Yarrowia lipolytica: one gene and its partners. The protein of the gene in region 2 interacts with the protein of the main gene of each other region in a pairwise test. Links are inferred from orthologs where the notes say so. Each region holds a gene or a part of one and is shown on either strand. Other genes may lie near its edges.

Evidence for each region.
Region 1: the proteins of YALI1_F12946g (region 2) and YALI1_E28599g interact in a two-hybrid assay, tested with the Saccharomyces cerevisiae proteins (2 studies listed by BioGRID). The link is inferred for Yarrowia lipolytica from reciprocal best matches to the Saccharomyces cerevisiae genes RPC34 and BRF1.
Region 3: the proteins of YALI1_F12946g (region 2) and YALI1_F14213g interact in binary tests that used the Saccharomyces cerevisiae proteins (3 or more experiments, as listed by UniProt). The link is inferred for Yarrowia lipolytica from reciprocal best matches to the Saccharomyces cerevisiae genes RPC34 and MAF1.

The regions. Positions count from the first base shown.
Region 1 is NC_090774.1:2,858,120-2,862,092, reverse strand, and holds YALI1_E28599g (uncharacterized protein), read right to left. Parts: upstream 2,160-3,973; coding exon 531-2,159; downstream 1-530. Other genes in the region: YALI1_E28631g (uncharacterized protein), read left to right, coding at 1-124; YALI1_E28575g (uncharacterized protein), read left to right, coding at 3,927-3,964. UniProt on the Saccharomyces cerevisiae protein: General activator of RNA polymerase III transcription. Interacts with TBP. Binds to Pol III subunit C34 and to the TAU135 component of TFIIIC.
Region 2 is NC_090775.1:1,293,235-1,296,567, forward strand, and holds YALI1_F12946g (uncharacterized protein), read right to left. Parts: upstream 1,394-3,333; coding exon 545-1,393; downstream 1-544. Other genes in the region: YALI1_F12917g (uncharacterized protein), read left to right, coding at 1-249; YALI1_F12951g (uncharacterized protein), read left to right, coding at 1,957-2,868. UniProt on the Saccharomyces cerevisiae protein: DNA-dependent RNA polymerase catalyzes the transcription of DNA into RNA using the four ribonucleoside triphosphates as substrates. Specific peripheric component of RNA polymerase III which synthesizes small RNAs, such as 5S rRNA and tRNAs.
Region 3 is NC_090775.1:1,419,429-1,423,393, reverse strand, and holds YALI1_F14213g (uncharacterized protein), read right to left. Parts: upstream 2,032-3,965; coding exon 2,026-2,031; intron 1,520-2,025; coding exon 626-1,519; downstream 1-625. Other genes in the region: YALI1_F14207g (uncharacterized protein), read right to left, coding at 2,225-2,686; YALI1_F14201g (uncharacterized protein), read left to right, coding at 3,268-3,798. UniProt on the Saccharomyces cerevisiae protein: Mediator of diverse signals that repress RNA polymerase III transcription. Inhibits the de novo assembly of TFIIIB onto DNA.

The DNA of each region.
Region 1 (3,973 bases), on a different chromosome or scaffold from region 2:
GTTCAAGAAGCAGCTGGACGAGGGTGGAATGAAGTACATTGCCTTCATTCTGGATCCCGATGGATACTGGATCGAGGTCATTCCTCCCTACAACCTGCCTCTTGAGAACCACGCCAAGATCTAGGCACCATGAAGAGGATAACTAGGGGATGCATGCCATATGGCGATATTTGTATAAACAATGATATTGGTGTATATTGAATTAGACAGGTTTGGGCGCAGTCTTAGATTACTCTACTAGAGTTTTTTATGTGTTCCGAATGGTTGCGATGCTCAATGCCTTTGTGGAAGATCCTACAAGAGAACCCATTAGCCTGACAAGTGAATCGACTGGATAAGTCGAAGTTGCTGTATCGATCGAAATAGTTTAACCCATTGACAGATCACTTGGTGCATCATGTTGAAACTCTCCTCTCATATCACAACTCCAAATCCCTCAATAAAACCTCTCCGTGCCCTCAATATGTACAAATACACAATAATTTAATGTTAGCTATATGCAATTCTCGTCTCACTTTTTTTCCCTCTGATCAAGTCAACTTCTTTCGCTTGCTCCACAGTCCGGAGAACTTTTCGTAGTTGATCTTCTTTGAAGGAGCTCGCTGCTGCACCATCTGTTTAGTACTCTCGGCCGCGTCCTTGGGAGGAGCAGGCTTCTCGCCATCCTTTTGCTTCTGTCGCTTTCGCTTCTTGGGCTCCTTATACACTCCAGCGGCCTTGTCGGCCTCGATCTTCAACAACTTGGTTTCCTGTTCCTGCAGGTACTCCATGTTGACGGTGGTCCAGACGGCCTCCTTGATGTTACGCTCCTCGTCGTTGAGCAGAATGGAGTCGATTTCGGGATCGTCGTCGAGATCCGATAACGACTCGACCACTGGAGGTCTGGCGTCGCCTCCTTCCTTCTCGGCTGTCTGCTGATCCTCCATCATCTGCTCATGGGGTGTTTTCATGGCCAGAAGTGCCTCTGTGGCGGCATTGTTAGCCTCCTCGTTGAGCATTCGACGCCGTTCTCGCTCGTATTCAATGATATACTGGGCTCTGTTCTGAACGGTTCTCTCTGCCTTTTCCTGCGGAGTGTCTTCCAGAAATAGCGCCTCCTTGGCCCGCTCCTCCGGGTTTTCGTTCTTCTCCACCATCTGCGCCATCATCTCCTCCATCTCCGCGTCAATCTCGTCCTGAACCTTCTCCTCAATACCTTCCTGCTCCCGCTTTCGATGCTTCTGGTACGAGGGCGGGTCCGACTGCGACTCGATGTTGGTCATTCGGAACACTGAGATGGTCTGGCGACCAGCCTCGGTGTGTCTGAACTCGTCCAGACGTCGTTGAAGCGTTTCTTCCGCGACCTTGGCGTAAAATGCAATCTGCGTCTTGGACCGACGCTGGTTGTTCATTCGAGCTGCTAGCAGCAATGCGGCGGCGGCGATACCGGCAGGACGACGACCCTCAACCAGATAGTCACGTCCCATACGCTGAACAAGTCGAACCGCGTCGTTTCGCACGTTTTTTGCGTTGTCAAAGTCGAGCTTGGACGCAAACCGCTGAATGTAGATGCTCGGGTCGATCAGTGGCAGGTTCTTGATGTCCAATGTCTTGAGCAGTTGCAGGTAAGTGGTTCCGATAGCAAACACGTTGCAAAATAGCTTGTCTGCGAAATCAATAAGCATTTCATGTCGCAGTTCTCGTCTGCAGGCAACGTACAGACACGCCGAAACCACGTATTGTGACCGTCGGCCCTTGACAAAGTTCTTGGTGACGGCTAGAACAAAATACCGATGGGCCTTTTCAATGATATGTTGGGGGATATCCATGGCGTGTGCGAGCGCTGTGATTCGGTTCTTGCCCTTCTGTAAAGTCAGCTCGCGTGACTCGCCGTGGAAGTTGTTGTTTCGGATACCGGACTGGTCGGCTCCCACAAACGAACCGTGCACCACGGCAGCTCCAGAAGACGACTCTCCGAAGGTCACCTCGGACACAATAGGCGCGTCGTCAACGACAACACCACAGTTGGCACAGGACGAGTCGTTTCCGTCTCGCTTGATCGATGTCGATCCACATCTGGGGCACTTCATGGTGGCTGGACAGTGTTCTGAAGGTGTGCAAGTGACGAAAATGAACAGTTGGTAGGTGATGTAAGCCAAAGATGGATTTTTTATATGCATCTAGAGTTTATGTGGGATGAAGAGAAAGTGGAGAGTATCTGACACGAAGTGAAACGACGGTTTGAAGGAGAAGAAATACGCGTGTTATATATTTGGTTTTTTCTTCCATTTCTGGCGCTTTTTCCGAAATGACAACTATTTTATCAAAATTGATACGAATTTTCCTGATTTTTCGCTGCTTCCATGTTTTGGTTACAGAAGGGAAACCCAAAACATGGACGCTAAAAAACGCCATAAACAATGTCATCGGTGGGATTCGAACTTTCGTGTGGCTAAGTCATTTTCGGAAAAACCGACATACCTGCAAGAGTATCGTTCATGAGATGTCGGCGTGCATGAGCGCCAACAAGCGTGTACAGTACATACATGACATGCGTTGAGATGTCGGAAAAAGACATTGTATATTCACACGACTCGACAAGACGTGTGGTGGTGAGATTTTAAGACTGTTTCGATATTTTTCAGTGTATATTTCAGGTGGCAAATACCACAACTCTAATTAAATAATTTTAGCTTTTGTCAACCCAACTTCTGGGTCCGTTAAAAGGGTCTTGTAGACACAAATACGGCTGGAATTTTGCCTGGAAGACGGCATGTGGCCCATTTATGTGTATGTCACATCACATCTCTGCTCTCGGGCCTTACCCCACCTCGAGTTATGTTCGGCATCTCTTGCACTTGTCAGGTATGCAACATGGTTGGTCCGGCGGCACAACTATAATGGGAGCTTTATTTGGGACAGAATTGATTGTTGAAATGTTGAACCGACGTTTTTCCGTTGTATTTTGCTGTGCTGTGCTGTGCTGTATATGGACAGTAGTGCATCCCATCCCCTGTCTGTTTGTGTGGTCGGACCGCTAGCTGTTAGCTGGTTTTTAGCCATTTTTTCAGCATTTTTCAAGCCTATCATTTTTGCAGCTCCGATTTCACCCATACTTGAAGGTACAGTGAGTGTACGCGTCCTGTCACAACTGATGGCCCAGAGCTGAAAGTAATCATGACTACAATTGTGGTGGTGTCGGTGTTGGTGGTGTCGTGGCGGTGTCGTGTTTGTGCTCAATCCACGAATATATAAACCCCCCGATCTCCCCAGAACCATGACGGAGCCGACATACTCCCGACTCTTGCACTCACCACCAGGCACGCCCCCTCTCTAACTTTGGACCTGCCTCGGTTGGGGGAGGTTTTGCATAAGATGAAATGCACGGCGGCCAAGAATCGGCAACGACCATAGGGAGCTACCGGTGCTTGGGTCAGTGTAGAGCTCAACGGAGTGACTACAATGTGGTGTTGAGCGGCGGTTTACGGAGACAAATGATTTCCAGCTTGATACCGATTGCGACACAGAATATGTGGTGCCATGTGGTGCCATGTGGTGTCTGGTTGTGTATATATATATATATATGGGTCTGGCCTGTGGCGGACTGTCCTTTGCCTTTTGTTATGTTATTTCCCACGCGTTGTTCGTCCACTCCAACACTCCCTTTCTACCCCTCAGTGGACTAGGGTTACCAACATGCTCGGCTTCTCCTCCTACATTGGACCAAGACAAGGTTTGGAGTTTAAGCGTTGGGAGGAACCACGGGTGCAGTCGGTGGTGGTCGGTCGCTCCCCCAGGGCGTGTGTGTGTGTGAGTGTGTGCGGTCCTGTATAATCTCGCACCCAACGCAAAAAAAGCCAAAGGTAAAGTTTCCAACCTTGGAGAACTAAAGAAGACCCTTCTAAGAAGACGGACTTCACACTCTTACCAACCACACAACACACAAGATGTACTCCGCCATTCGAGCCACCCGTATGGGTGTCAGGTGAGTAGA
Region 2 (3,333 bases):
GCCCGAGTCGGCGACCGAACCCTCATGGACGCACTTGTTCCCTTTGTAGAGACCCTCAGCAAGACCAAGGACTTCGCCAAGGCCGTAGAGGCTGCTCGGAAGGGCGCCGACGAGACTTCCAAGCTGCCTGCCAATTTTGGCCGTGCCTCGTATGTGAACGAGGAGGGATTGGAGAACATTCCTGACCCTGGAGCTCTTGGACTGGCCGTCATTTTCGAAGGTCTTCTCAAGGCCTGGGAGAAGAAGTAGTGTGTAACGGTGAAAGTATGTAGTAAAATGATTAATGACGATGCTGAAGTGAGGATAATGGAGGTAAACATCTGCCGACTGCTTGATCCAGGGTATATACCACTCGTACTTGTTCTAGGGAGAATACTCGATGATATTCTATCCTAAGTAAGTACCAGTCATCTTCACTATTCCGGATACCTGACTCGTTGCTGCAATTACTCTCACCTCACACCGCTTACTATTCTATGCTATAAATTAATACTACTTGTACTGTACTTTTGTTGCTGACCTCGTTTCCAGATCATCCTCCCTATTAATCCAACCACTCGTCAAAGTAGCTGCACTCCACATCCACCGGTCCTCCGGCGCTGCACACGTTGAAGACAGGACACTGGCCACAAACAGACTCGGTGTAAGCGTCTTTTGGCAGCTCCTCGTCGGGAAGATCGCCATTGAGAGTCGCCTTGTATCCTGCCTTGCATCTTTCCAGACGGTCATCGTAAACCAAGACCTCGCACAGTATTCGAATATGGCCCTCATCCAGCTCCACTCGTGACACCTCCTGGTCGACAATGAACTGCTTGATGTCTGTGACATGCACGGGTGGTGCGTTGGCCCCGAGCGCCAGGTTTGTGTTCTCCTCGCAGTAGTGGTAGACCACGTCGAGCAGCAGATCGACAAACTCGGAATCGAGCTCGGCATCGGAAAACCAGGGACCTCCTGTGAGCTCAGCCGAGGGTTGCAGGTTGTACAGCATGTACATTTTCCGCGTCTTCTGCTGTACGCTCTTGACCATCTTGATGATGTGCTGCTGCTCCAGCGACTTGAGACATCGGTGGACCACGTTGATGTGCAAGTTGGACCTGGCTGTGATGGTCCGCACCCAGATGCCGTCACGCTCCGACTCTGCAATGTAGTTGTACACAATGTACTCGTCAGACGTGAGCTTGGATACAATGTCAGCCGTCTCGATCGACACGGCCTGCAGCATCACCTGTCCTCCCTGCTCCAGCACCTTGACTCTGGACGAGTTGTGTAGCTCCGCGATCCACGCCTCCAGCTTCTCGCCTGCTACGTCCACGAGGTCGGCCACCTCCGCGTACGTGAAGAGCTTGGCCTTGGGCCCCTCCAGCATTTTGGCGTGCAAATCATCCGCGGACATTTTGAAAAGGTGCGGTTGTTGTGCAAGTCTGGAAAAAAAAAAGTTGGATGGCGAAATTATTTCGTCACACTTTTCTAGTGCGTCTGAGATGCGCGCATATGTGGGATGGAGGTGGTTGGTAGGGGGCCGAAAGACTGCTCTGGAGACTAGTGGGGTGGTTGGAGCGGATCGCAGAGGTGTATATATGCGAGTTTTCAAGTTTCAACGGAAAAAAACAGCCCTTTAGCTGGTATTGTGTGTTGTGTGACAATCTGGTAGAGTTGGTTGGATAATCTTCATTAACAAAAAGCCCAACTGAAAATGTATAAAGTAAGTATAGTCTAAGTAACTGAGAGCGAGAAGAGACGTGTGTTATTTCTAAGGCTTACAGCGAAGATACCGAGCCAATTTTTTTGTCAGCTTGTGAAGAATTATGATTAAATTATTTTTCAATCTTCCACTTCTCTCTCACTTGCTTCACACACCTCATTAACCACACCCCGTCTCCGCCCTATGTTCTCTTTAGGTTCGCACTACGAACATGCACCTTCTAGTATCACCACCATCACTCTCACCAACCAGCCATGGCACGAATCAAGCTTGATCTGAGCTCGGACGAGGAGCCCACGGTATCGTTCAAGCGCAAAACGGTCAAGAAGGCCGCCAAGCCCAAATCTGCGGAGAAAGAGTCAGATGAAGAGCCCAGTATGGTGTTCAAATCGAAGATCAAGGCCGTCAAGCTGGTCAAAAACGAACAGACCCGCTCCAACGAGTACCAGCAGGAGCTGGACGAGATGAAGAACAATTTTGGACACCTGCAAACGAAAGAGGAGATTGGTAGCTTCAAAACTGACACTACCGGAGAGATCAAGACAACCAAGAAGGTCACATTCGAGGGTGTACCAGACACCAAGGACGAGCCCTCCTCCTCCGCAGACTTTATCTCACTGTCGGGAATGGAACACAGCAACACAGACTTGCCTGCCACATCCAAAGAAGGCTACACGGCGTCTCTGGATGACGGGTACGACTCGGATCTGTCTATATCCGAGGGGAGAGATTTTCAGGACGATCTACTGGTGATTGGCGAGTCTGGGGTGTCGGACCAGGCCGATGCTAGAAGAGCCGATATGGCTGAAGCCATCTACGAGGCGCAGTTGACTGCAAGTGAAGATGACGAGGAGGACAGGAGAGGATGGGAGAAGTCGCAGTTCCGGTCGTCGGGTGTATTCAAGGATGACTCCACGTCGGAAACTAAGTACCGGGAGTCCACTGATCACGAGGCTCATAATCTGGCGCTGAAAAAGCTGCATTCGGTGCCGGAGATTCCGTCTCTGACAGATGTAGTGGAGTCCATCAAGCAGCGCAAGGTAGACATGGACGCGCGCAAATCTGATCTTGAGCTGACGCTAGAGCAGTACCAGCGCGAGATTTCGCTCATTGAGGAGCGTCAGAAGGAGGTGGCCGATCTGGTCAACAAGCAGCTGGCTCTTTAGGGGTGTTTGTGATGGTTTGAAGGACTACGACGATTGTCAATTGCATTCTAACGACTATGAATGCACGATACTAGGCAGTACCTACACAGCTACAGTAGTTGACAACATGTCACACTGCCATTACAACCACTCAACCAACACACACACAGTCTACAAGTACAAGTACCGTACAAGTAACTGTAGGCCGTATCTTCTCTTCAAAGTTTGAGGTTGACTCCGTCACGACCAGTTTGCCTTTAGACATTGACTTGAGTGTTTAACCATGGATCTCCAAATTACGCGATAGACGCGACGAGCCAGTGACAATGACAAACGAGCCGCTCTGGGTGGGAAAAGAGGTGCTTCTGAAAAACAACACGAGCGAGCGACAATGGGACGGAAGAAACAACACATTTGCATCCCCATTTGTGTCTCTATCATTTACTTGTTCCTTCCACAAATCTCCACCACCGCCAAGGCTGGTCA
Region 3 (3,965 bases), about 130 kb from region 2:
ATGTCTCGGACCACCCACCCACATGAGCCAGGGAACACATCTGTTTACTTCAGGTACATTTTGCATGCGCTCATCGCAAAAGCAAGACCACAACAATGACTAGATGGGCTAGAAATATTGTGGTAATTGTAAACATAGAAACACCAGAAACAACCCGGCAACCAGCCCAAGTCGTTGTATATCTCTGTCCATCACACGGTGCTCGTCCTCCACCCCGTAATGGAACCTATAGAAGCCAGTTATCAATCAGGCACACCGAGGCCTATGCACGATAGACTCAGGGGATATCGTTGGACACGATACGCAATCACCAATGTCGCTTCGGCAGCCAATTACGCCATTGACGGGGCGGGGAGCGAATTGCCGATGTCTTGGTCCAACACAGATGATTGGATAGTTTGACCCAGCCCCGACCGCGTATAGCTGATGGGAAGCGAATCACAGCGCACTCGCGGGAATACACAGCAGCGCCAATGCCATATCTACTCTCTCCACCGTACCTGGTATACATTTATTACTCATATGTTGAAAAATCAAACGTCATAGGCTCGAACATTGTTGAACTGTTAAACTGAGTGGTGTTCTCGGCCGAGTGCTGCTGTGTTAAATAAAAATGTGCTCTGGACTACTCCAGATCAAGTTCTCCGACAATCTCGTCGTACATGTCAGTGTCGGAAGAATACGTGAGATCATAATCTTCTTCGTCGTCACCGTTGATCACATCGGACCTCATAATCTTGGGCCCCAGCGTAGGCGACAGAGAATGCCTCCTTGCGTTGAGAGAAATACATGCGACTCGCTTCATTCTCTTATTGAAAAAGAACCAGCTTAATGCCCACAGGGCGCCAGGCTCGTCGGCGAGAATCGTGGCGTCGGGCGTGAAGGAAAAGATTGTGCAGTTGTGCATCTCGATGCTCTTGTCCAGTACGTCCCACATCCGGGGCGGGATCGGCATACCCAGGCCGAACAGCACGTTGTTGAAGGACGAAATCACGGCCGATGCGCTCGGCTCGCGCTGAAAGTCGTCCGGCTGTAGCACGGAAAAGTCGTGATTAGGGTCTGACGCATTGAGAATCGCAATCAGATAAGCAAACACCTTCCTACTGGCAGTTTCGCTCATATCTCCAAAGGGAGAGGAGAGTAGAGGCGATAGCGAGCCGACAGAGACGCCTGCTCTCGAGGAAGAATAGGTTCTTTGCTTGGGCACTTTGCTCACGCCCTTGGGGCTTCGATTGCTCATCTTGCTGACGCTGCTGTCCAACGATTTGCCGTATTGGTAGTAGTTGTCAAAGGTGAGCACTTGTGGGGGAGAGAAAGATGTGCCGAGGGTGGAGATGGAGGTGAATGAGTCGAGCGCGTCTTGATGGTACGACAGCTGCTTGTCGAGCACCTTGTACAGCTTCTTGTCCGAGGAAGCGGGTTTGGTGGTGTACAGGTCAATGTTGCCGGAAACGTGGCATTCGGGTGTGTCGAATTTGAGTGCTGATGCCACCTCGTCGAGTGTGTGATCTTGTATGAACTGGGTTAGTGTGAGTTGATGGGTTGTGAGATGGGGGAAGAGCAATCACGGCACAGATAGAGAGACTAAGATGCGCATCTGGGTTTGTGGTTGGGCTTGTGTCTGTGTCGCTTGTCGAGAGCACGGTATGTTTGCGTGTACCCTCTGCGTGTTTCTCTGTGTGTGTCGCTGTGTGCGCCTTTCTGTGTGCCTCTCTGTATGTCTCTGTGTGTCTATCCTCGTGTGTATCGACAACTCTGTCTGCTAAAATCGACTTGCACATCCTGAAACCTCTTCTTATCACCACACCACCCCGGTAACACGCGCTGAGTGATTTTCGTCGCGTGTTAGCCGGTGTCTGAGGGATAAACATTCAAGAAACACCCCTTCATCGCCAACCTCGACTGATTGAAGGGCAAAAATCAATCGCCACAAACCCCCCTCGGTATCCCATTTCGTCCCCAAGACGTCCGACCTCGCCAAACAGCTTATCGAACACAATCTCTGTACCGTCTCCAACCACTTACCTTCATTGTGATGTGTGTTGCCGGCGGCTTTGTGTAACTTGGGCGGGCCGTGTGAGTATTGCTGAGTGTCGTGGAGGGTCGAATCGACGGCGTTTGATCTGACTAGGGTCGTTTTGATGTTCCTTTTCCGGTTGTGGGACTGGCTGAGTTTGAGTCCAAATGTATGTCATGTCAGGACTGCGTGGTGGATGTATAGCGCCTACATGCATAGTCTGATCAGGTGGGGAAGGCGTGGATCTGGACGGGGGGAAGGAGGAGGGAGCACAGATAAGACCACCGGACGGCTTAGTAATACAACAACGGCCCCGAACCGCTCCCCTAGCCCATATCGCCGTCTACATGGTGCCCTAAACCTCCCCATACTCTGATAGACCCCCACAAACACGCCCCATAAACAAGGTCCCATCATTATACCCGCATCGCCCGTCTCACCGTGCCGCCAATCACATAAGCTTATACTGCCACAATGGGAACTCCCACTTCTAGAACGGGACGCAGCAGCAGAGAACGTGCAGTGTAGCGGTGGAGTTTGAGCGTCAGGAAGGCTGGTGATCTGGTGTCCTAATGAGTCACGCCGTATTTGGCAGAGATTTAGCTGTCTTAGACGGTCGTCGAGTACTCGTGCTCGTATTGTACTCGTACTTGTAGCTCCAGGTAACATCACTTGGATATTGCTGTCATTCTAAACTTGCTGTTTAATTAATTTATTTAGATTGGGAGAATAACAAATGGCAGTTATTTTATGTAAAAAAAGAAGATATTTATACAAGCGACGAGGATTTATACATGTAAAATTTGCGAGAAAACCACAATTTTTTGTGTTATCGGGAATTACTTTTGCAAGTTTTTCCCATTTTTTCCCATTTTTTTCCAACTTTTCCCATTTTCCCCAATTTTTCCCATTTTCCCCAATTTTTCCCATTTTCCCCATTTTCCCCATTTTCCCCATTTTCCCCATTTTCCCCTTTTCCCCATTTTCATGATAGCAAAAACATCACCTCACTTCACCTCTTACCTGCCACAGTGGACCCACTCGTCCAGTCCGAGATTTTCCGACCGACAATCCCGGCAACAACACCAACGAGATCTACCCGTACCCTGAACGGTTAGTAAGCACAATCTGAAACCAAACCCAACCTCCGTTACACCTCCAACCCCAACCCACAGAGATCCAGACAAGGCGCAGGCGCTCTTCCTTGCTATCGTGACGTCAGATTCACGTGATCCCGCTGCTTCCTTATAATGGGCCTCTACGACACTAAGCCGGGCGGTCGGTTGAAACTCAAGGGCGACAAGGGCAAAGTAACCAAGTCGAAAAAGAAAAAGATCTCCAAGACGTCTTCTCCAGCACCAGCACCATCCTCATCACCACCAACAATGTCACTGCCTTCAGCCAAGGATATCGCCAAGTCTCCTCACGATACAGAGCATGCCAAAGAGTCCATTTCGGAGACTCCTCCTTCTGTGGAGACCAAGGGCGCGATCCCTATTCCGGGATCGTCCTCCAAGCGAATGGACAAGGCCAAGATTGCCGCGAGCACCTCGCCAGTGGAGACCACCCGAACGCCTAAAGAGCCGTATCTGACTGACGCCCAGAAGAAGTTTGAGGAGGCCAAGAAAGAGAGAGTGAGTATGCAAGTGAGCGGACAGGGGGGATGTGGTGGCCGATCGAAGGTCGGCTTTCACCGCACATTATCTGCGTTTGTTCAGGCCTACAGTAGTAGAACAGCAGGGCCGCATTTCGATCTCGAACAAATAACACTATCATTTTGAGCGTTGACTGTCTGGATCAGGATTTTTCAGCGGCATCAAGTGGGGTCAATATCGTCTTATTTCTGCGTTGTTGAACCTCCTGTTGTGGCAATGTGTACTGTCAGAAGTCGATGTTGGTTGACAGACTACCGACAAGTGGTTTACAATGATCTTGGTCAGCTTTGAAG